Lonchura striata: one gene and its partners. The protein of the gene in region 1 interacts with the protein of each later gene in a pairwise test. Links are inferred from orthologs where the notes say so. Each region holds a gene or a part of one and is shown in the gene's direction. Other genes may lie near its edges.

Evidence for each region. The genes of interacting proteins can lie anywhere in the genome.
Region 2: the proteins of CDC73 (region 1) and TFCP2 interact in binary tests that used the Homo sapiens proteins (3 or more experiments, as listed by UniProt). The two-hybrid records come from large-scale screens. The link is inferred for Lonchura striata from reciprocal best matches to the Homo sapiens genes CDC73 and TFCP2.
Region 3: the proteins of CDC73 (region 1) and HSF2BP interact in binary tests that used the Homo sapiens proteins (3 or more experiments, as listed by UniProt). The link is inferred for Lonchura striata from reciprocal best matches to the Homo sapiens genes CDC73 and HSF2BP.

The regions. Positions count from the first base shown.
Region 1 is NC_134611.1:27,287,867-27,295,431, reverse strand, and holds the start of CDC73 (parafibromin), read left to right. Parts: upstream 1-4,548; 5' UTR 4,549-4,596; coding exon 4,597-4,727; intron 4,728-7,565.
Region 2 is NC_134629.1:5,118,946-5,126,880, forward strand, and holds the start of TFCP2 (alpha-globin transcription factor CP2), read left to right. Parts: upstream 1-4,890; coding exon 4,891-5,012; intron 5,013-6,843; coding exon 6,844-6,995; intron 6,996-7,935.
Region 3 is NC_134604.1:111,746,499-111,753,938, forward strand, and holds the start of HSF2BP (heat shock factor 2-binding protein), read left to right. Parts: upstream 1-4,395; 5' UTR 4,396-4,481; coding exon 4,482-4,517; intron 4,518-6,540; coding exon 6,541-6,691; intron 6,692-7,440. Other genes in the region: RRP1B (ribosomal RNA processing protein 1 homolog B), read right to left, coding at 3,298-3,430. UniProt on the Homo sapiens protein: Meiotic recombination factor component of recombination bridges involved in meiotic double-strand break repair.

The DNA.
Region 1 (7,565 bases):
GGCGGCTTTCCCAGGATGGGGTCGGGAGAGCCATGAAGAGGGGCTGGATTTCCCTGAGGCCGCGGAGCCGCTCCTGGTGTGGGGAAGTTGGGCAGATTTGGCCTCCTGCCCGGCTGGCTTCCTGATGTGAGGGTTTCAGCGCTGCCTTTGCTTTGTCCAGTGTCAAACTTACTTTAAGTCTTCTCCGTCCCCGTTTCTGTTGCCTGTTCTTCCTCACGTTTCTTTCCTGCCTTGCAGTTCCTCGGTCAGAAACTGACCAGTGAAACAGGAGTTGGGGACGGAGTAAATAATGGGTGGGGGATGAAGAGCTGCTCTTGGTACCTGGGAAGTTTGTTAGTGGAATTGGCTAATCATGTAATGTGTGGAATGTTTTTAGTGGCTCATGGAAAAAAAAAAAAAAAGAGAGGTCTTACTTTATGTGGAGGCGTTGGGTATTTTATTTCCTTTTATTTCCTCAGTAGAAGCTATTCAACAATATTCTGTTATTTCACCCCCACATATCTTGCTGTGGAGCCTGGTCAAATACGTGTCCCTGGCAGAGCACTCCTGTGGAATATCCTCTGAGCAGCCCCTCTGGGGTCTGTACAAGTATTTCAGTAGTGGAGAAACTTTTCTAATCCCTCTGTGTTGAGAGTAAATTGTGCTCTGGATCACTGTTCAGTGCGAACAGCAACAGTTCAGTGCTCAGCCCTATGTTTTAAAAAATGCTGCAAGGAAATGCACTCATGTGCTGATTTGTTTTTGCTCATATGTGTCTGTAAAAAAGGGAGTGTGTGCTCATGCATGATGTATCTTTCTGGATGTTGATTAATCTTAAATGAACTTACCTATGATGTAAATTTGTCTAATATTTTGCAACTTAATTTTGCTTTCCTACAAAACATCAGTGTAACCTGTTAAAGTAGTGAGAAAATGCAAGTGAAACATTGTATCCATGTAATATACTTTCATTTTTCTAAATGGTAACTTACTTGCCCATTTCAGATAATGATTTTGTAGCCCAATGTTCTGTGATAAAGCTGATAAACTCTCAGGTATCTAATGCCACATGAAAATAGTTTCACATCAAATCCTGATTCAATGATTTAAATGCTGGTTAATTGTGTCACTATGATTCCCAAAGCAAACTGTGGGAACTATTTTGTACACTCCCAGTTGAAGCGGCATGTTAAGAGTAAACCCACTATATTTTTGCATTAAATTTGGCAGAAAATCACCCCCCTGGCATCCCAGCTGTTCCTCAGATATCAGAGGGACTGGGACAGCTGGGTTTAGCTTCTGAGCCGTGGGCAGTTCCGCAGCAGACATGCAGAGGTGGTGTGGCACTGGAAAGAGCTGACCTTTGGAGTTCCTCCCAGCCCAGCCCAGCCCGTGGTGAGTCCCCTGTGTGCAGAGGTGTGTGTGAGCCCACGAATGTGAACCATACAGCCAGCCACAAGCACAGTCAGATGGGAGATGCCAGTGTAGCACTAAGAGTATGATCACAAGCACAGGCTGGCTTTCTGAATTTCCCGAGGTGCTTACCTGGTATAGCCGAGTGCTGGAGTCTGACCCAGTAGGTGTCCCTGTGGGGAGGAGCTAGCTAGAGCCCTCTGACAGTGCCAGGATACAGAGATGGAGTCTCCTCCGACCTCCCTTACCTCTAAAGCTGTATTTATATTGTTTTCAGTGAGTGGCAGGAGAAGGTGAAGTTATGTCTGACATAATTTGCCATTGAAGTGGAGCTTGATTTTAGTAATGAGCATATATGGGGGGTATTGACACAAAGCTGGGGCACGGCTTGGGTCATTCCTTTGGCTTAGTTCCTGTTACCTGCATTGTTCCTGCCAGAGCATGACCACGGCACCCCTGTGCCACTCCATCCTTTGTTTCCTATCTGCATTGATTTCAGCAGGGCGAGACCAACTCTCTCCCTGCTGCTCCCTGCTTTGTTCCCTGCTCCCAGAGCAGCACGCCGGGCTCCTGCAGGGATGCTGCTCCTAAGGGTGCAGGCAGCTTGTCCCTCCTGAGCTACTGCCAGCACACAGACTCCTTCTTGCTCAGCTTTCTTTTTCAGTGTTCTCCCAGTGAAGGCAGCCTTAAATGAAAAAGGAAACCAGAACCACAACGTTTTCTGGAAACCTGAAAGTAAATCTCTTTGTAGCTGTGTGTGCAGCTGACTGTTCACTGCACCATTCCCTGCTCCCTGAGCAGCAGATTGGGCAGAACTGAAATGAGGGGCTTTTTGGGTCATTGTAACCCATGAAAAGAAGTATTGCTTGTAGTGCAGCAGATGTATAGGATGTGTTTCTGAGGAGGTAGCACTGGTTTAAGGGACACACTGGGCCTTTTGGATGAGGCATGGAAATGGGACTTGGCCTGCGGGAAGCATTTCAAGCCCTGTTCCAATTTTCATGAGCTGTAGTTCCAGTAATAATTCCAAATCCAGTTCAGGAAATGATATTGTTTATTCATCATGCCTTTGTCTTCTAAACACACAAATACTACTCTATACCCATTGACAAATAAACATTGGCAGTGATTGGTATAATTCACCATGTTACTGGGTGTTGTAGTACATATTTGTGTGCTAGACTATTTCAATACCACATCTGAAATGTTTTAAATACACTTGTGGTGCTCTGCATGTTGTTGTTCTGACACAGATGGGGATATCACTAATGTACTGAAACAGGGAATTCTATAGGCTGTTGGCTTTTGGTCTGTTTTCTCAGTCTCAGCACATGTTACTTACAAGAATGAAAATTAACCAATTCTGCCTTTTGCAAATCTAAGACGGTATCATGCTTTCTGCCAGTGTTGAAGAGTGTTAAAAAAATTCTGAGCATCAAAGGTTAGAATAAGTCATGATGAGAGTTTGTTTGGGGGTCTCAGATCCTGCAATCAGTATTCCCTAGGGGGTACCAGTTTGGTTCTTCTGGGAATGCTATGCTCCCAGTTTTTGTGTGTTTGAGCAGAAGAAATTAACTTGGAACATGGAGAGAGCATGGAGAGAGCACATACCAGCTGCAGCTGTGCAGTTGCTCAGGTGAGCAAACAGAGATCCCAGATTCTGCAGGGTAATGTGGGATGTGCTCCATGGCATTACTGTTTGTCCTTCACATTTACAGGCAACATTTTCCTAATGACCTTTTGTTTGCTATGGCCTTTTGACGGCTTATATCTATCAGAATTAAAGGACTTTTTTGTGATTGATAAAGCAGAGACTTCTCAGTCTTTTTTTTTTTTTTTTTACCCAGCTTTATATCCAGGAGATTTTCTCTCCAGCCTGCAGAGCGAGATGCATGCACAGTGTCTGAGAGAATCAGCCACAGAATATCCTGGGTTGGAAGGAACCCACAAGGATCATTGAGCTGAACTCCTGTCCCTGCACAGGACACTCTAATAATTCCAGCATGTGTCTAAAAACATTGCCTAAAAGCTTCTGGAACTCCGGCAGGCCTGGGACCATTACCTGCCCTGGGGAGCCTAACCCATCATCCCTCATCTGGGTGAGGAGCCTTTTCCTGATGTCCAGCATAAACTTCATTGATACTGCTTCCTGCTGTTCCCTCTGCTCCTTTTACACTGTTTTCTTGGGGTATTCCTGTGACCCTGCTGTCCCAGCCCTTACCAACCACAGGCTGCTGGGCACATGGCTGGGAGTGATGACATAAAACCCCCTTAACACCCCCAAACCCCTCCCAGGGCCCTTTAAAACCTCTTTAGTGTCACTAAAACCCCTCCAAGTACACCATACCTCATCCCAGCTCCCCCAACACCCCTCAAACCTCCTCAGCACCTCCAAACTCATTTTATCTCTCTCAGACCCCTCCCAGCACACCCTAAAGCCCCATTAGCACCTCAAATCCCTTTGAGCACCCTCTCAAGTCTCTTTAGCCCCGCTAAAACTCCTCCCGGTGTACCACATGCTATCCTAGCATCCCCAAACGCCCCTCAAACCTCAACATCCCCAAAGCTCCTTTTAGTTGTGCTTTAGCATCCACGAATCCCTCCCAGCATTCCTAAAACCCCGTTAGCACCACCAACCCCCTTCCAGCACCCTCTAAAACCCCTTCAGCACCACCAAAACCCTTCGTTACCCCCGCCCAAAACCATCCCAGCGCGCCCGGGGAGCGCGGCGCAGCCGGGAGCACCAAAGCTCCAGAGAAGAGAAGCAGCGCCGATAGACTTCGGCAGTGACTGTGTGTGAAGCTCTATTTTCACATAAGACACAAGAAAGCCCCGTGTGCCCAGGACGGACAAAGCCGCCCCCACACGCCCCGCCCCGCCCCGCCCGGGCCGCCGTGAGGGCGGGGGGCGTGGCCTCCACCGTGAGGGCAGAGGGGCGTGGCCTCCACCGTGAGGGCAGAGGGGCGTGGCCTCCGCCGTGAGGGGGCGTGGCCTCCGCCGTGAGGGCAGAGGGGCGTGGCCTCATCCGGCCCCGCCCCTCCCTGCGGGGCGGGCCCGCGCCGCTGCCATGGCAACGAGTCCGGCGTCGCCTCAAGTAGGCGGCGCGGCGGCGCCGGCTCAGGCATTCGCGGCGGGCAGCCCGGGGCGCGCCGGCGGGGTCCTGCGGCGGGCGGCGGCGGCCGGAGCGGCGGCGGCCGGGCGAAGATGGCGGACGTGCTGAGCGTGCTGCGGCAGTACAACACGCAGAAGAAGGAGATCGTGGTCAAGGGCGACGAGGTGATCTTCGGAGAGTTCTCCTGGCCCAAGAACGTCAAGACCAACTATGTCATCTGGGGGTGAGCGACACGGCCGGGGCGAGGGGCGGCTGGGGGGAGAAGTTGCCCCAAAGTTGCGGCGGGGACGGGAGCGCTGCCGTCCTTGGCGGCCCCGGCGCTCCGCGGGTGGCGAGCGGGACGGGGCCGGGCGGGCCGGTGCCGCCCCCCGCAGGGCCCCGGTGCCCCGGCGCCCTGCCCGGCTGTCCCGCGGGCGATCCCCGTCCCGGCAGCCCGGCCGGGCAGGGCGCGCCCGCCGCTCCCCTCGGGAACGTTCCCGGGTGCAGCCCGCGGCCGGCGGAGCCGCGGCCGGGTCGTGCCTCGGCTCCCGGCGCTCCTGCCCGTGCCGCCCGCGGGGCCGCGTCCTGCAGACTCATGCGATGAGATGGCAGCAGGCAGCTTCTCCCAAGTTCTCCCGGGTGTTCGGTGGGAAAGACGCGTTGTGTTGCTCGGACAGCGCTCTCAGGCGCACGGTGGGATTCCTGGGGTATTTCGCGCGGGGCCAGGAGTTGCAATCGGTGATCCTGATGATCCCTTCCCACTCAGCATAGTCTGTGATTCTGCTCTCTTGCGTTGTCGGGGCTGCTTCTCGTCTCCTGGAGCTTTGGTGCGCCAGGGCGAAGCCAGCGAGGCCCGGCCCGACGCTGCCTCTGATGAGCTGTGCAGCTGCTCTGCCCCCACCCGAGACCTCCTCCTGGGCAGCACCTGGTGCAGGCTGTTTCCTACTTGGTCTTATCGTAATAAACAAGTAGAGAGAGTGTTTATGTGGCTTAAATAATTGTAGTAGATAACATGCCTGGTTTTAGCCTCTAGTATATGGGGGAGGGGGGTTTACCTGTTGAATTTCCTGGTAGAGCATGGATTGCTTATATTGCAAAGGAGTTTATTGTTAGCCTTTCCTCAGAGTTTAGCTGCTGCTTGCTTCTTAGTGTTCTCACTAGAAGGGTTCCGATTTGTCTTTTTCAAACTTAAGAGGGAAAAATGCTTCTTCTTAAAGCTCAGGTACTGATCAAAGAGGACATGTTATCCTGTGAACCTTTGTGGAAAAGCAGAAGTACCTGCAGGTTTTTCACAAAACCCTGAACTTGTAGTTAAGTCTGACCAGGAATTATTATTTTTTTTTTAAACATTATTATGATATGACTATTATTAGCCTTAGATTGAGAGAGAGAAAGGAAATAAGCCTACTTGCTTATCTTCAGTTGTAGGTGGACTTTTCATACAGAATTTTACTTTGTACCTTATATATTACTAGAAATCTGTTTTTTCATTACCTGTTCTAAGCTTTCAGAAACTAATTTTGGAGTTATTTGTGCTTCCTGTCTGAGTGGGGGATACTGGTATGTGGACTGAAGAGGAAGACAAATATTTGGACAAGCAGAAGTCTTGGCTGTATTTTTGCTGGGCAATGTGTAGACAGATGTGGTGGTTTCCTTGCTACAAGTTGCTTTTCCCAAGTGGTAACAAGTAGTGGTTAAGTAGACAAACAAGTTTCATTGCCCTTCTGCAGGGAACAAGAAACTGATATGCCAGCCCTATCCTATTGCTCAGGAGAGCTTGGATTAGACTCAGAAATTGTTACCAAAAGCCTGAAAGTAGCTGGAGAGCAAACTCTGCTGTGTACAGCCAGGCAGCTTCATCTTCCTGGTCAAGAAGGATGTGTGGGTGAACAGAGGATTCTCTGAGCACAGCAGCTGCAGCTCCTGGCAGAGCTGTGAGTGCTCACCTCCTGGGGTACGTGTGTGGTGCAGTTTGAGGTTTTTTTTTCTTTGGGTTGTTTGAAGTGAATTAGTTCATCTTGGTTTAGACAAGTGGCTTTTGAATTTTTGATAGGATCAGGCTGATCTCAGTTCACAGCATTTCTTGTCAACCACTGTGGCATTTTGCATGTCTCAGCTTTAAATTGAAGACACTGTAAAAATGAGACCAGTTCTGCAAGCCATGCTCAGTAGCTTGAACACCACACTTCAAGAGCTGCTAATTTAGGTAATTGCTACACTCGGGAGGGACATTTTCAAAAACTGTCAAGATTCAAACCCTTTTGTATTCAGGTCACTTGACAGGATCCAAATTATGCTTGCACTGAGCAGGTGTTGGTGGCTTAATCTTTCACAGAACAAACCTTGAGTTCTGTTTTAGGTGTCCCCAGCACGGTTGCTGTAATTGCATCTCCAGCCTGCAGAGAGTAATGCTAGGCTGAAGAGCAGCAGTGGCATTTGTCCCTGCTAGAATTAGAAGTAGTCCCAGGAGACATTTAGCTGTGGCTCCCCGAGCAGCTTAGCTGGCAGAAGTCAGCAGTGCTGCCCTGCATTGCCTTCTCTCTCTGCTAGCACAAGTGTCACCCAAACAGGGAATTGGGCTGAGGAATCAAGCTGAGTAAAAGTCAACCTGGAGGAAAAAAGGAAAAGTGTGGGGGAAAAGCAACTTTAATCCAGTTTAGTTTCCAGATAGTAATTATAGCGATGCTCCTGCTGGCGCATGAAAAAGGCTAGGTGGTTTGAAATGAAGTGGTTTGTGTGTTTTGACCTATGGATCTTAAAGAATAATTAATGAATCTGTTTCAAAACCAAAGGAAGGAATCAATCTACCAGAGAAATTTATTACTTAGTTTGCCTAGTCAAGGGGCTTGGATATGCAGCTGAGTTTTCAAACAGTGAGCAGCTGGTTCTGGGTATTGTCAGCTGTGTGATACTCAGCATGCTTTGTCTTGTGTATTTAAAGTTTTCTGCTTGGATTTGTGGATGAGACACAGGCCCTTAGTACCTCTGTAAAACTACAGGCTTTGAAACAGGAAAGAGGAAATAAAGCTGTTAAAAATTAATAAATTCCTGGTGCCCATAGGTGTAAGGTGAATGGATGAGA
Region 2 (7,935 bases), on another chromosome or scaffold:
CATCCCCGCAGGTTTGACAAGATGGACATCAGCCCCAAGACATCCCTGCCCAGTGTCCCCTGAGTGTCCCCAGCGTCCCCTGTGTGCCCCCTGAGTGTCCCCTGAGTGTTCCCTGCGTCCCCCCTGCGTCCCCCCTGAGTGTCCCCTGAGTGTCCCCAGTGTCCCCAGTTTCGAGAAGCTGGACATCCCCCCTTGAGTGTCCTCCCTGAGTGTCCTCTGAGTGTCATCCCTGAGTGTCCCCTGTGTCCCCTGAGTGTGCCCTGAGTGTCCCTGTGTCCCCAGGTTTGAGAAGTTGGACATTCCCCCTGAGTGTCCCCTGAGTGTCCCCTGAGTGTCCCCAGTGTCCCCATGTGTCCCCAGTTTCGAGAAGCTGGACATCCCCCCTGAGTGTCCTCTGAGTGTCCCCTGAGTGTCCCCTGAGTGTCCCCTGTGTCCCTCTGAGTGTCCCTGTGTCCCCCTGAGTGTCCCCGTGTCCCCAGGTTCGAGAAGCTGGACATCCCCCCTGAGTGTCCCCTGAGTGTCCCCTGAGTGTCCCCTGAGTGTCCCCTGAGTGTCCCCTGTGTCCCTCTGAGTGTCCCTGTGTCCCCCTGAGTGTCCCCGTGTCCCCGTGTCCCCAGGTTCGAGAAGCTGGACATCCCCTCTGACTGTCCCCGTGTCCCCAGGTTCGAGAAGCTGGACATCCCCTCTGACTGTCCCCGTGTCCCCAGGTTCGAGAAGCTGGACATCACGCCCAAGAGCGCGCAGAAGCTGAAGCCGGTGCTGGAGAAGTGGCTGCGGGAGGCGGAGCAGCGGCAGCGCGAGGGGCAGCAGCACCTGCTGGAGTTCGTGGGCGGCGAGCCGGGCAAGAAGCGCAAGCGGCGCACGTCCTTCACGCCGCAGGCCCTGGAGGCGCTCAACGCGCACTTCGAGCGCAACGCGCTGCCCACGGGCGCCGAGATCACGCGCATCGCGCAGGAGCTGCGCTACGAGCGCGAGGTGGTGCGCGTCTGGTTCTGCAACCGCCGCCAGACGCTCAAGAACACCAGCAAGCTCAACGTCTTCCATGTGCCCTGACGGCCGCGCCCGGCACCTCCCAGTGCCCGGCCGGGAGCGCCCCTGTGCCCCCGGCCTCCGGCCACCGGCACTTCGGGCACCGGTTCTGTCCCTCTGCCACCTGGTTCTGTTCCCGTGACACCTGGTTCTGTTCCTCTGACACCTGGTTCTGTCCCTCTGCCACCTGGTTCTGTTCCTCTGCCACCTGGTTCTGTCCCGCTGACACCTGGTTCTGTCACCCCGACACCTGGTTCTGTCCCCCTGACACCTGGTTCTGTTCCTCTGACACCTGGTTCTGTCCCGCTGACACCTGGTTCTGTCCCCCTGACACCTGGTTCTGTCCTGCTGACACCTGGTTCTGTTCCCGTGACACCTGGTTCTGTTCCTCTGACACCTGGTTCTGTCCCCCTGACACCTGGTTCCACCAGCACACCTGTGCCTGTGCACACCACACCTGTACCAGTGTCCACCACAGCTGTACCTGTGTGCACCACACCTGTACCAGTGTCCACCACACCTGTACCAGTGTCCAGCACAGCTGTACCTGTGTGCACCACACCTGTACCAGTGTCCACCACACCCGTATCTGTGTCCACCACACCTCTGCCTGTGCGCACCACACCTGTACCTGTGTCCACCATGTCCATACCTGTGTCCACCATGCCCGTACGTGTGTCCAGCACACCTGTGCCTGTGTGCACAACACCTGTACCAGTGTCCACCACACCTGTACCAGTGTCCACCACAGCTGTACCTGTGTGCACCACACCTGTACCAGTGTCCACCATACCTGTACCAGTGTCCACCACACCTGTACCAGTGTCCACCACACCTGTGCCTGTGTCCAGCACCCCGGTACCTCTGTACAACACACCTGTGCCTGTGTGCACAACACCTATACTCGTGTCCACCATGCCCATACCTGTGTCCACCACACCTATACTCATGTCCACCACACCTGTATCTGGGCCCACCATGTCCGTACCTGTGTCCAGCACACCTGTACCTGTTTCCACCACCCCTGTACCTGTGTCCACCATGTCCGTATGTGTGTCCACCCTGTCCGTACCTGTGTCCAGCACACCTGTACCTGTGTCCACCACCCCTGTACCTGTGTCCACCATGTCCGTACGTGTGTCCACAATGTCTGTATGTGTGTCCACCATGTCCATACCTGTGTCCAGCACACCTGTACCTGTGTCCAGCACCCCTGTACTTGTGTCCAACATTCAATGTCTTCCACACATTCTCAACTGGGAGCACTGGGAACATCCCAGTTCCCGGTCACAGTCCCCCATGACCACCGGCCATCAGCACTTTGGCGACTGATTTTGTCCCTTTGGCCACTGATTTTTGTCCCTTTGGCCACTGATTTTGTTCCTTTGGCCACTGATTTTGTCCCTTTGGCCACTGATTTTTGTCCCTTTGGCCACTGATTTTGTTCCTTTGGCCACTGATTTTGTCCCTTTGGCCACCCTTTTGTCCCTCCAGCCCCGTGCCCCTACCTGTGCCCACCCCCGCTGCGCCCTTCAGCGCACTGAACTGGGAGCACTGGGAATCCCTCTGTGTGTCCCACCAGTCACAGCCCCTTGACCTCCAGCCATCAGCACTTTGGCCACTGATTTTGTCCCTTTGGCCACCCTTTTGTCCCTCTGCCCCCGCGCCTGTACCTGTGCCCACCTGTGCCTGTGTGTCCCCCGTTCCCTCCTGTCACACACGACCCGAGCGTGTTGGTGTCACCCCTCCCCACCTGTGACACAGGTGGTGACAGACCCCCCCGAGTGTCACACACCCACCCAAAATCAGCGAGTTACATTTTTCTGGGTTTTGCTCTTTTTGCTGTGTTACTGAGGCGATGTTACGGCTCACCGGGGCTGACCCCAAATTTATGTCACCCCACGCTGGTTTTGCGGGTCCCCCACCTCGTGAGGGGCTTCTGGGGGTGATCCCCCACCTTGGGGAGGTCCCGTGGGTGGATTTTGGGGACATCACCCCGGGCGTGGGGGGCGTGAACCCCAAAGCAGAGGCAGCGCCCCTTCCCCACCTCCCCCTGCCCGGAGCCCGGGGGGCTCCAGCCCCGCCGGGAGCGATGGGAGGGGAGCTCCGGGGGGGACACGGGGCCGCGGCAGACTGATGCACTTGATGTAGTGGTGTGAAATAAACTGTATTTTTCTTTTTTCTTTTCCTTTCCCCTTTTTTGTGGGGGGGTCCTTCCTCCCGCTCGGCCCTGCTCCGCGGCCGGCGCAGCGGCGGGAGCGGGAATCGAACCCGCGGGCCTAGGCAGGCGCCGCACACAGCCCAGCTCCGCCCGCCGCCGCGGCCACGCCCCCCAGCCAATCCCCGAGCGGCCTGCCAGGCGCGCAGCTCTCTATTGGTTACTTTTGCTGGCCGTCACGCGGCAACGCCAGGTCCCATTGGCTGAGCGGGGCCGAGGGGCGGGGCCACAGCCCAGCGGCGGGGGTGGGGCCTCCGCCTCCATCTTGGCGGAGCGGCGCGTTTGGGGTCCCGGCCCGGAGCGGGCGGGCCCGGACTGGATCGGGGGTCCCGGACTGGACTGGGGTCCCGGACTGGAGTGGGGGTCTCGGACTGGATTGGGGGTCCCGCCTGGATTGGGGGTCCCGGACTGGAGTGGGGGTCCCAGCCTGGACTGGGGGGTCCCGGCTCGAATTTGGGATCCTGGCCTGGATTGGGGCGATCCCCGCGGGCAGCCCTTGGAGGGCAGTGCAGGATTTTGGGGTCCCCTTGGGTGCAGCCTTTGGAGGGGACTGTAGGATTTTGGGGTCCCAGTTGGGTGCAGCCCTTGCAGGAGAGTGCAGGAATTTGGGGTCCCCTTGGGTGCAGCTCTTGGAGGGCAGTGCAGGATTTTGGGGTCCCCCTTGGGTGCAGCTCTTGCAGGAGAGTGCAGGAATTTGGGGTCCTCTTGGGTGCAGCCCTTGCAGGGGAGTGCAGGATTTTGGGGTCCTTTGGGTGCAGCCTTTGGAGGGGACTGTAGGATTTTGGGGTCCCCCTTTGTAGGATTTTGGGGTCCCCATTTGTAGGATTTTGGGGTCCCCCTTGGGTGCAGCCCTTGCAGGAGAGTGCAGGAATTTGGGGTCCCTTTGGGTGCAGCTCTTGGAGGGCAGTGCAGGATTTTGGGGTCCCCTTGGGTGCAGCCCTTGGAGGGGACTGTAGGATTTTGGGGTTCCCCGGTGCAGCCCTTGGAGGGCAGTGCAGGATTTTGGGGTTCCCCGGTGCAGCCCTCGGGGTCGGTCTGTAGAACTCGGGGCCCCCCGGCGGTGCTGCCTCTCAGGGGTTTTGGGGTTTGGGGGTCCCCCCGAGTGTTCCTTTTGAGGTGCTCCAAGGGCGGGGTGCAGCCTCGGGGGTGTCGCTGGGTTTTGGGGTTCATTTGCCTGTGGTAGTGGGGTTTGGGGGTACCCAGGTTGGTCACTGCAACAGAGGGTCCTCAAGAGGTTTGGGGGGCTCTGGTACCCCCAGAAATCAGGGAGGGGTGTTGGGGTGCCCCAGGGAGACCCTGGGTTGGGGGTGACTGAGGAGCCCTATTTTTGGGGTGACACTGAAGATATTGGCCCATCGGTTTGGGGGTGACCCCAGGGCCCCCTGGTTTTGGGGTGACCCCTGCAAGCCCCTTTTTGGGGTGACCCCAAGGACCCGCGTGTTTGGGGGTGCCCCAAACCCCCGCCTCTGCCGTGTTCCCAAGACACCCCCACCTCTGAGTAGCTCCAGACCCCCCATTTTTGGGGTGTCCCAAACACCCCCTGTTTTTGGAGTGACCACGACGGCCCCCTTTTCTGCGGGGTGACCCTGAGGACCCCCCGTGTCTGGGGGTGAGCCGGCAGCCGTTTTTGGGGTGCCGGGGCCATGGCGTGGGCGCTGAAGCTGCCGCTGGCGGACGAGGTGATCGAGTCGGGGCTGGTGCAGGATTTCGACGCCAGCCTCTCGGGCATCGGGCAGGAGCTGGGCGCCGGCGCCTACAGCATGAGGTACCGGGCACCCCGAAATGACAGGGCACCCCAAAACCGACGGGGCACCCCAAAACCGACGGGGCACCCCTGAACATCCCGGGGAAGGCAGGGGCCGTGCAGGGAGCGGGGAGCCCCAAAATGAGCTGGAGGTTGAAGGCGTCGGGCAGCACCTCAGCACCGGTACCCAAAGCAGGAAGGGACCCCGGAATCACCAGAGGCACCCCAAAATCTCTGTGGATCACCAGAACCCCCAAGGGAAACCCCAAAATCGCCAGGAGTCCCCAGAATCTCCAAGGGAAACCCCAAAGTCCCCAGGGGTCCCCAGAATCCTGCGGGTTCTCCAGGATCTTCATTAAGGGATCTCAAATCCCTGGTGGCGACTCCAGAATCTCAGGGGGGTCCCAAAATCTCTGGGGATCCCTGGAATCTCGGGGGGTCCCAAAATCTCCGGGGGTCCCTGGAATCTCGGGGGGTCCCAAAATCTCCGGGGGTCCCTGGAATCTCGGGGGGTCCCAAAATCTCCAGGGGTCCCCAGAATCTCTGGGGAGATCCCAAAATCTCCAGGGGTCCCTGGAATCTCGGGGGTGTCCCAAAATCTCCAGGGGTCCCTGGAATCTCACGGGGGTCCCAAAATCTCTGGGGGTCCCCAGAATGGCAGGGGGTGCCAGGGGCACGGGGAACCCTGAGCTGTGCCAAAGTTGGGGCATCAAGGGGGAAGTGGGGGCATTGGGGGGAATTGGGATTGGGATGGAGTTGGGATGGAGTTGGGATGGAGTTGGGATGGAATAGTGATGGAGTAGGGATGGAGTTGGGATGGAGTAGGGATGGAGTAGGGATGGAGTTGGGATGGAGTTGGGAAGGAGCTGGGATAGAGTAGGAATGGAGTTGGGATGGAGTAGGGATGGAGCTGGGATAGAGTAGGAATGGAGTTGGGATGGAGTTGGGAAGGAGCTGGGATAGAGTAGGAATGGAGTTGGGATGGAGTTGGGATGGAGTTGGGATGGAGCTGGGATGGAGTTGGGATGGAGTAGGGATGGAGTTGGGATGGAGTTGGGATGGAGTTGGGGGAGAGTTTAATTTGAATTACGGCTGAAGGAAAGCCCCGAGCTGCATTTGGGGCTGGGATGGATTCGAGAGGAGGGTGGGGTACAGCTGGGATGGATTTGGGATGGATTTGGGATGGATTTGGGATGGATTTGGGATGGATTCGGGATGGATTTGGGATACAGTAGGCATTGATTTGGGATGGATTCGGGATGCAGTAGGGATGGATTCGGGATGGATTTGGGATGGATTCGGGATGGATTCGGGGATTCAGGATGCTGTGAGGATAGATTTGGGATGGATTTGGGATGGATTCGGGATGCAGTAGGGATGGATTTGGGATGCAGTAGGGATGGATTCGGGATGGATTTGGGATGGATTCGGGATGGATTCGGGGATTCAGGATGCTGTGAGGATAGATTTGGGATGGATTTGGGATGCAGTAGGGATGGAATCGGAGTGCAGTTGGGCTGGAGCTCTGGCTGGAGTAGGGAAGGAGCAGGGCTGGAGTTAGAGCTGGAATTGTGGTTGTTGTAGTGCTGGGGTCAGGATTAGGGGTGCTGACAGGTGTATTCGGATGGCCACAGGTGTGTTTCAGGTGAGCACCTGAGGCCAGAGGTTCAGGGCACACCTGGATCCCTGGGCTCGGGCCGGCTCCAGAGGCAGGGCCGGGTTCCTGGGGGGCTCTTCCTCCAGGTGCCAAGGCCAGCTCGGGTTGATGGCACCCCTGACCGCCAGCTCACCTGTCTCAGGTGACTCCCAGGTGACTCCCAGGTGACTCAGGTGACTCTCTCCCCACCTGCAGCGATGTCCTGGCTCTGCCCATCTTCAAGCAGGAGGAGTCCAGCTTGCCCCCGGAGAGCCAGGACAAGCTGCTGCCCTTCCAGTACGTGCTGTGCGCCGCCACGTCGCCCGCCGTCAAGCTGCACGACGAGACCCTCACCTACCTGAACCAAGGTGAGCCGCACCTGTGCGCAGGTACCCCCGGGAGCAGCCGGCCGCAGCTCCTGCCGGCGGGAGCCGGCCTTTCCCGGGGTTGTTGCCGGCTCTTGGGAGGCGGCGCTGCCTGCACCTGCCTGTGCTCCGCCCAGGTGGAGCAGGAGTCACCTGGGCGCTTCACCGGGTTAAAGGGGGTGACAGGTGTGTGCAGGGTGATACGGGTAAGGTGTACCTGTGCAGGTGTGTGCAGAGGTGTGTGCAGGGTGATACGGGTAAGGTGTACCTGTGCAGGTGTGTGCAGAGGTGTGTGCAGGGTGATACGGGTAAGGTGTACCTGTACAGGTGTGTGCAGAGGTGTGTGCAGGGTGATAGGGGTGTGCGTAAGGTGTACCTGTGCAGGTGTGCGTAAGGTGTATCTGTTCAGGTGTGTGCAGAGGTGTACCAGTACAGGTGTGTGCAGAGGTGTGTGCAGGGTGAAACAGGTGTGCGTAAGGTGTATCTGTGCAGGTGTGTGCAGAGGTGTGTGCAGGGTGATATGGGTAAGGTGTACCTGTGCAGGTGTGTGCAGAGGTGTGTGCAGGGTGATACGGGTAAGGTGTACCTGTACAGGTGTGTGCAGAGGTGTGTGCAGGGTGATACGGGTAAGGTGTACCTGGACAGGTGTGTGCAGAGGTGTGTGCAGGGTGATATGGGTAAGGTGTACCTGTACAGGTGTGTGAAGAGGTGTGTGCAGGGTGATATGGGTAAGGTGTACCTGTACAGGTGTGTGAAGAGGTGTGTGCAGGGTGATAGGGGTGTGCGTAAGGTGTACCTGTGCAGGTGTGCGTAAGGTGTATCTGTTCAGGTGTGTGCAGAGGTGTACCAGTACAGGTGTGTGCAGAGGTGTGTGCAGGGTGATACGGGTGTGTGTAAGGTGTACCTGTGCAGGTGTGCATAAGGTGTACCTGTACAAATGTGT
Region 3 (7,440 bases), on another chromosome or scaffold:
TTTAACAGTACATTGTTACAAGGCAGCTACAATGACCTACTACAGTTATTTTCAAACTATGGCCTATTAAATATTCCCAAGCAATCCCATAAAAAAAACACTTTGAAAAGGTCATCATCTTCAGTAAGCTCAAATTTGCTCCAAAAAGATCATTGTCTCAAAAAAAGTCAAAAAGTCTGAAACCCAGTGCAAGATCTAAATTGTGCACCTTCCTTTGGACCAAAGGACAAAAACACCTGCACACAGATTAGTCCTGCTTGGTTGAAAAGAAAAGAAGTGAGAAAATAGGCAAAATGCTATGTAGGAAGCAATGTGTCCAGTAATATTAAGCATTAAATTTAGATTTGACAATACTGTTACGATAAAATATGAAACAAATTTATTAACGGAATTAATATTTATTGAAATATTAAAATTAATAACATTTCTTAACTGAATTATATGTGACATACTGAGTGGTAAGAAGCAGTTTCAACCTTACTGGCAGCATGAACCCTACAGAAGTATCAGACAGAGGCATCACCTGCTACCTATAGATGTGGCTCAGGAGTTCCCAGAATTGTATCACAGAATTATTCAGGTTGGAAAAGACCTCTCAGATAATCACTGCCAAGGCCACCACTAAACCCTATCCCCAAGTGCCACATCTACACATCTTTTAAATCCCTCCAGGGACATTAACTCCACCACTGCCCTGAACAGCCTGTTCCTGTGCTCTGAGGGAAGAAAACACACACTTTTATGAGGTTGCTTTTCATACACACAGGGCTTTTTAAAGCGTCCTAGGCAGTCCTGTGCCAATTTGACATAAGACTCTGACCAAAAATTACAGCAATTTTCTTATCCTAATGTCTCAAAAGAGTAGTTTCAATATAGTGTTTTCTGTTCAGCTTTATGTGCTGTTCCCCAGCCACAGCTGGCAAATAATAACCATTAAAGTTATTTTAAAACCCGAATGCATTGTATTAACAACCACAGTGCCCAGAACTGAAGGCCTTCTATACCTTGAACCTATCCTGAGAAAGATTGTGGCTTTAGGGCTTGAATTTCAACTGTCCCTCTGCACAGTAACTCTGTTCTGTGTACTGTGGGAGCTGGGATTAACACATTACAACCACTCAGAGCTACTTTACTGCAAGCCTTGTCAGCCTCTCTGTCTGGGAGTTTGGCTGCTTTGACACTGTTATAATTGAATTTGTTACCATTTTTCCTTTTCTAGATAATTGCAATGGACCAGATCCACACAGGGATATTTCAGTGGAAATTACAGAAATCCTTTACAGATCCAGGCACAAGTCAGCACAGCTCTGTCAGACAGGAAACCCACCCAGCAATCTGCCCTCTTTTACTGGAAGTTATTTCTGTTTACTGTTCTTTCTTCAATTAATTTGGTTAGTTCAATGCCTTCCACAGAGCTTAATTTCTTGAAAATTAAGAGCTCTGGCTCTGTGAAGAAGCTCCCTCAGCCTTAGCACAGACCAACAGAGCAGTCCTGTCCACCTAATAAACACCTGAGAGCCCTGAACATCAGGTGAATTCCATCACTTCTGCCAGAAGTCAGCACATTCTCAACTCCTCAGGTCAGGGCATCCTACCTGGGTTACCTGATGTGTGAATCCCTCTCAGAACACTGGAGATGGGTACAAGACTGCTAATTAATAAATTAACTGTAAAAAAACCCTCTCTCCTGAACATGCTTTTTCTCCAAGCCCGAAGTACTTAATCTTCGTTTCAATACCACCTAACAGCAAGTAAATCTAAGAGCTCTGGAAATTAGTCACCCTTGTTTCCTACTCATTTGCATCCCATGGTGTGCTGATTGTAACATGCAAAAGGTTCACAGCCCAACTGAGCAATTTCCCTGTGATGCTTTCATGATGCTCTAAAGCAGTGCCTGAACCTGTTCCCCCTTAGAAAGTCTCCAGAGCTAAAAAATAGAATGTTCTTGGGAGATACATGATGTACACTGTCCTAGTGCCCAGGAAATCCCTAAATCTATGTTAACTGCCAGGAATGGGATAATGCCTGTTTGGCTCCCTGGCCTGACCCTGTAAGACTGTTCTAGGTGTCCTACCCTCTGTCAGATGTGGCTAATGGGTCAAATACTACTTGGAAAGACAAGAAGCAATATTCTCTCTACAGTCTTTTCAAGGAAGTCATGGAGGTCCAGCCAGCACTCCAGATTAGCTCCTGAGGCCAGCTCTAGGCTGGTTCCCCAAAGCCATACATATATAATATATACTAATATATAAAATATACTTGTAAAATGCAATAATAAATAATTAGAATATATGGTAATAGAATACTGTAGAATGCAGCTTATAAAATATATGTTTTATAGAAAAGAAACATAAAATAGAGATTATACATTACATTATATGTAATATGAGGTATAGGAATAATACACATCCATGTGGAAACTGTGCACCCGAGGCATTTTCAGGTACACGGACCTTCAGACTGGCCTTGCCAGCCTCAAACAGACTCCAAGGACACCACTGAACTCTTAGTTCTAAGGTGCCAATATATAGCTCCAAGTAGAATTTTTGGAAAAACGAAGAAAAATGCTTTCGTTAGCATGAAGTGAAGGTAACAAGTAACCTAAATGTGTTACACAGAACCAGCTGCAATTACACAAGTGCTGAAGCATGTAGCTTTCCTCGATTCCCTCCGATGCTCCTGAATATCAGTCACGGAAACAGACAGACATCAGCTCACAGAAACAACAGAAGATGAAACTTTATGCAGCATATACCGGGATGTTTCCAGCCTGGATCACTTCAGTGCATTTACACCCCTGTTCCTTGGGAACGAGAGCACACGAGCCACCCTGCTCCCATCCCGGATTTGTTAATGTTGCCAGCAAAACCCTCCCTCGATCCAAGCTGATCCTTCCCGAGCTCCTCCAGTGCCCGGAGACACTTCCCGAGCGAGGATCCAGAGCGCCTCGGCTCCCGGGTGCTGCTGGGGCTGCGCTTGCGGCAGCACCGGGGCAACACGTGCGTATACAGGGCGAAAAAAAAAAAAAAAAAAAAAAAAGGCAAAAATGGGAAAAATTGGTAAAGTCAAAAAAAAACAACAACAAAGCCCTAAAAAACCCAACAAAGAGAAAAAAAAAAAAAAAAAAAAGCCCGAGGAGGCGTGCCGGGCTCAGGGCGCACACGTGCTGTTTCCTTCCCTCCCCGTGCCGTCCGTCCGCCGGGGCCGCCGCTCCCCCCGCCACGGCACCGGCACCGGGACCCGTCCCCGTCCCTCCCCCGGTCCCTGCCCGCCGCCCCGGCCCGGTCCGGTCCGTACCGCCGGGGCGCTGGCTCCGCACGCCGATGTAGCCCCGCAGCTTTTTGAGGGCGCGGTCTCGGATGCGCTTCTCGTTGGCGGCCAAGCGCTGCGCGAACTGCACCTCGGGCGGCTGCACGGCCGCGGGAGCCATGGCCCGGCCTGCCCGTGTCCCTGCGTGTCCCGGCCCGTGTCCGTGTCCCGGCCCGGCCCGCCCGCGCCGCGCTCCGCCCGATGCCGTCAGCGGCGCCGGGCTGTGCCGTCACCGCGGGGAAGGCGGAGCGCAGGGACGGCAGCGCCGCGGAGTTCGGGGCTGGCCGGCACCTGGCTCACCCACGGGAGGCACCCGCGGGATCCCCACCGCCCGCAGCGCCCGCAGATCATCACGGCTGGAAAAGAACTCTGAGGTCATCGAGTCCAGCCTGTGGCCGATCACCCACGGCAGTGGTGCCGCGTCCTTCCCGAACGGAGGGACCCAGAACGGGACACAGCACCTGAGATGTGCCCTACACAATCATTGCCCTGGTTCCGCTGGCCACACCATTGCTGACACAAGCCAGGTGCCATTGGCCTTATTGGCCACCTGGGCACACCTGGCTCATGTTCGGCCTCTGCTGACCAGCACCCCAGCTCCTTTTCCTCCGTGCAGCTTTCCAGACTCTCTTTCCCCAGCCTGGAGCTGCAGGGGCTTGTTGTGACCCAAGTGCAGGACCCGGCAGTTGGCCTTGCTGAACCTCCCACCACTCGGTCCTTCCATCCAGCCTGCCCAGATCCCCCTGCAGAGGCTCTCTGCCCTCCAGCAGATCAATCCTCCCTCCCAACTTGCTGTCGCTCCCTGCACCCTCCAGCGGCACCACGGCACGGCCGGGCTGCAGCTCCACAACCCGGTGTAGTCCCGGCATTGTCACGGTTGTTCTCCCGGTGTTATCCCACCTCTACCCCAGCGTTATCGCGGTGTTGTCCCAGTGTCATCCCGATGTTTTATCCCGGTGTTATCCCGCGGCCGCTCCGGGCGGGGCTGGGGGCGGAGCCTGAGTACCAGACCACGCCCCCACACGGGACTAGCCAATCGGAGCGGGCGCGGCCACAGGGGGCGTGGCCACAGGGGCGTGGCCGCCGCGCTCCGCTCCCTCACGCTGCCCCGCTGTCGCCGCTCGCTGTCGCCGCTGTCGCCGCTCGCTGTCGCCGCTGTCGCCGCTGTCGCGATGTGGCGCAGCGCCGGCCTCGCTGGCGACGCGCAGGTATCGCGAGCGGCCCGGGGCTGCCTCAGAGGCCGGGCCCGGCCGGAGGTCCCTGCGGGTGCCTCGAGCAGCAGAAGCAGCGGGGGCTGTGTGGTGGCCTTACGGGGCGCTGAGGAGGCGACGGCGGGGCCGCAGGGAGAGGGCAGCGTGGTGGGGCTGGGGAGCCACAGGCGCCCTGGGCTGGTGGGGAGTGAGTGGGGAAAGGCTGGCAGGGAGTCCGTGCTGGGGAGCTCTGCCCTGTTCGGCCCCTGGAGTGGCAGGGGAGGGAGATTCCCGTCCCTGGGCTCACACCGGGCAGGGCATGAGCTCAGGTGCATTGCTGGGTGACTTCACCCCTGTGAAAGAACTCGAATTTCCTACTTCCTGGCACCTGCCGTTACCTGGACAGAAAACTCCTGTTCTCCCCTGTATTTGCCTTTAACATACTCTTGTAGTGCAGAGAGATGTGGAGAAGCTGCTTAAACAGAGAAAATAAAACTTGCCTGCTGTAGCTGCAGCGCTGCAAAGACTTGTGCTTACAGTGGGAACTACAAAGGAGAATTTTCTCCTTACCGCATATTTTATATTTCAACACCAGTGATTCACAGGCTGTTTTACTTGAATTCAGCTGTTAGTGAACAGAGCTATTTTTATGTACGAAATTTTGCTCTGTAAGTCTGAGTAATACTGAATTCTCTCTGTCATTCGTGGTTGCTGACACGCAGATGGCATTCCTCTAAAGACTCCTCTTCCCATGTGTTTGCTCCATGCTTTTTTGAGACCTAGATGGGTGGAATTTTTCTAGAGTCATGTAATTATGTAGTGCTAGTTAGCCTATGAACCTTGCCATAAGCACTTCCTCGATGCAGCTTAAAGCTTGCAGTTCAAATTAAAGCAAAATTTTTCTTCCCTACCTTCATTACAGCTCTGAACCTGCAGTGGTGGCACTGATCTGTCCCAGAACTCTCTGGATTTGAAATACAGCTGAGAAAGAAATAGAGTAGGAAGCAAAACTGAAAGGAAATGTTCAATGTGAGGAAGTAGGAAAGCAGAAAGAACTGTAGGGAATGGTTGGAGAGGATGACTTCCATTTGTCTTGTGTGTCTACTCGTGAGAGGACTGCAGGGATGGCACATTTTGAACCTCTAGGAGATGAGATTTAGGTTTGTTAGCCTTTTCCCTCTGGAATGTGATACATAAAGCATCTCATTTTGTCAGCACTGTTCTCAGTGCAGTGCAAAGCGCTGCTAAGATTTAACCTTGCTTTCTGGAAGCATATTGAGTGATTGATGTTTTAGTCAAAATACATTAAAACTTTCTTTTTTGTTTGGTGTGTGTGTATCCGCCTTTTAAACATCTAGCAGAGTGCACATGTATACATCAGAAATTGGACTTTATGGGGTTTTTTGTACAGAAATTGCTCTGTAATTTTAAGATTTAACACATATTCTGCTGGAATGTTGAATGAAAATTATTCTATAGCTATAGTTTGGCAGAAGAGGAAGCTAGTAAACATTTCTGTCTTACCTTGGGATTAAATTTTTTATGTGAGATTGAGTTGCAGATGGTTGCAAATAATTTTTGCTCTTCACAAAAGATAAATTGGTTTGAAAACGGTACAGTTTCTTCCAAGAGAGTTGTTGTAATTTAGAACTGAGGATCTTGCAAATGTTTGAATTAATTAAAAAGCTGAGTAATTGTGTCCTTTACGACAGTCGTGAAACAACAGCTTGGTGCATGCTGCTCACATTTTAAAATGTGAGTGTTAATTTTTGCAGCATTCCCAAATGTATTTTACACATTTTGGGTGAAGAAACACATGAAGAGAGGTAATGCTATTTACTTAAGGCCACAGTGGCAAAAATGAAGATAACAGTCAAAGGGTCAACCTCAGAGACTTTGGGGTTGATTGCTGGATAATTCTCTATAAAAAGTTACAAATTGCTGAAATAATGTCATAGGACTGTATATACAGGACTGCAGCTGTGTCTTTGGTTGGTTGTTGGTTTGGTTTTTTTTTTTTTGCTTTGTTGTTTTATTTCAGAAGGCTGAGACCAAAGAGGAATTCGTAAAAGTCAGAAGGAGGGATTTGGAAAGGCTGACAACTGAAGTTATGCAACTGCGGGATTTCTTACCCAAAATAGTAAATGGAGATATCCTGGGGACATTCCAGAAGCTGGATGCTATTGAATCAAGTGAGTAGCACCATCTTACAAGCTCTTGCAGTTTCTGCCAGAACTGCTTAGAACAAACTGTTGTGCTCCAGAAATAGTTGTAGAGTTTATGGAGCTATTCCAGATTCAACTGTGTTGTTCAGTGACTGCTTCAGTAAATTAATGTGTTTGTAGTGAAGAAAATTACAGGCTGCCTTAGGAATAATCAGACATGTCAAATTAATCTTTAAAAATATTTTACTGTGGATAAAAACATATATGGTTCAGGCAGTAAGGGAAGCTGTATGAGGAACAAAAAGTGTTTTCCCCAAAAAACATTTTGTTTTTCTAATGGTGACTTTCACAAAAAAAAAAGACCCAACAACAAAATAATGGTAAATAGCAGTGGGTAAAAATCTGAAGAGTGAGTTAATACTGTATTTGGCCTGTCTAGTTTGTATGCTTTACTAATAAAAAAAGAAAAGATTCTGTAATAAAAGTCTTTTTATCGCTGTCCCCAAAGTCCATTTTTTTCAATGCTGGATTTCTCTGTGCGTTATTTTTTCAAAAAAAAACCCATTCCCAACATGCCATCAGGGCCAAATAGGAGTCAGCTCCATCCCTGGTCTGTAGTTTACCTGGAGCTGTACAATTTATCTGGAATTGGGTTTGCCTGAAAAGACATGGAACAAGCACTGAGACAGATTACTGAGGGTGTGTCTCTTCTAGAATACCAAGTAATAAATGGAAAATTAATTTCCAACAGGCAGCTAAGGAAAAGCAAGGTAGGG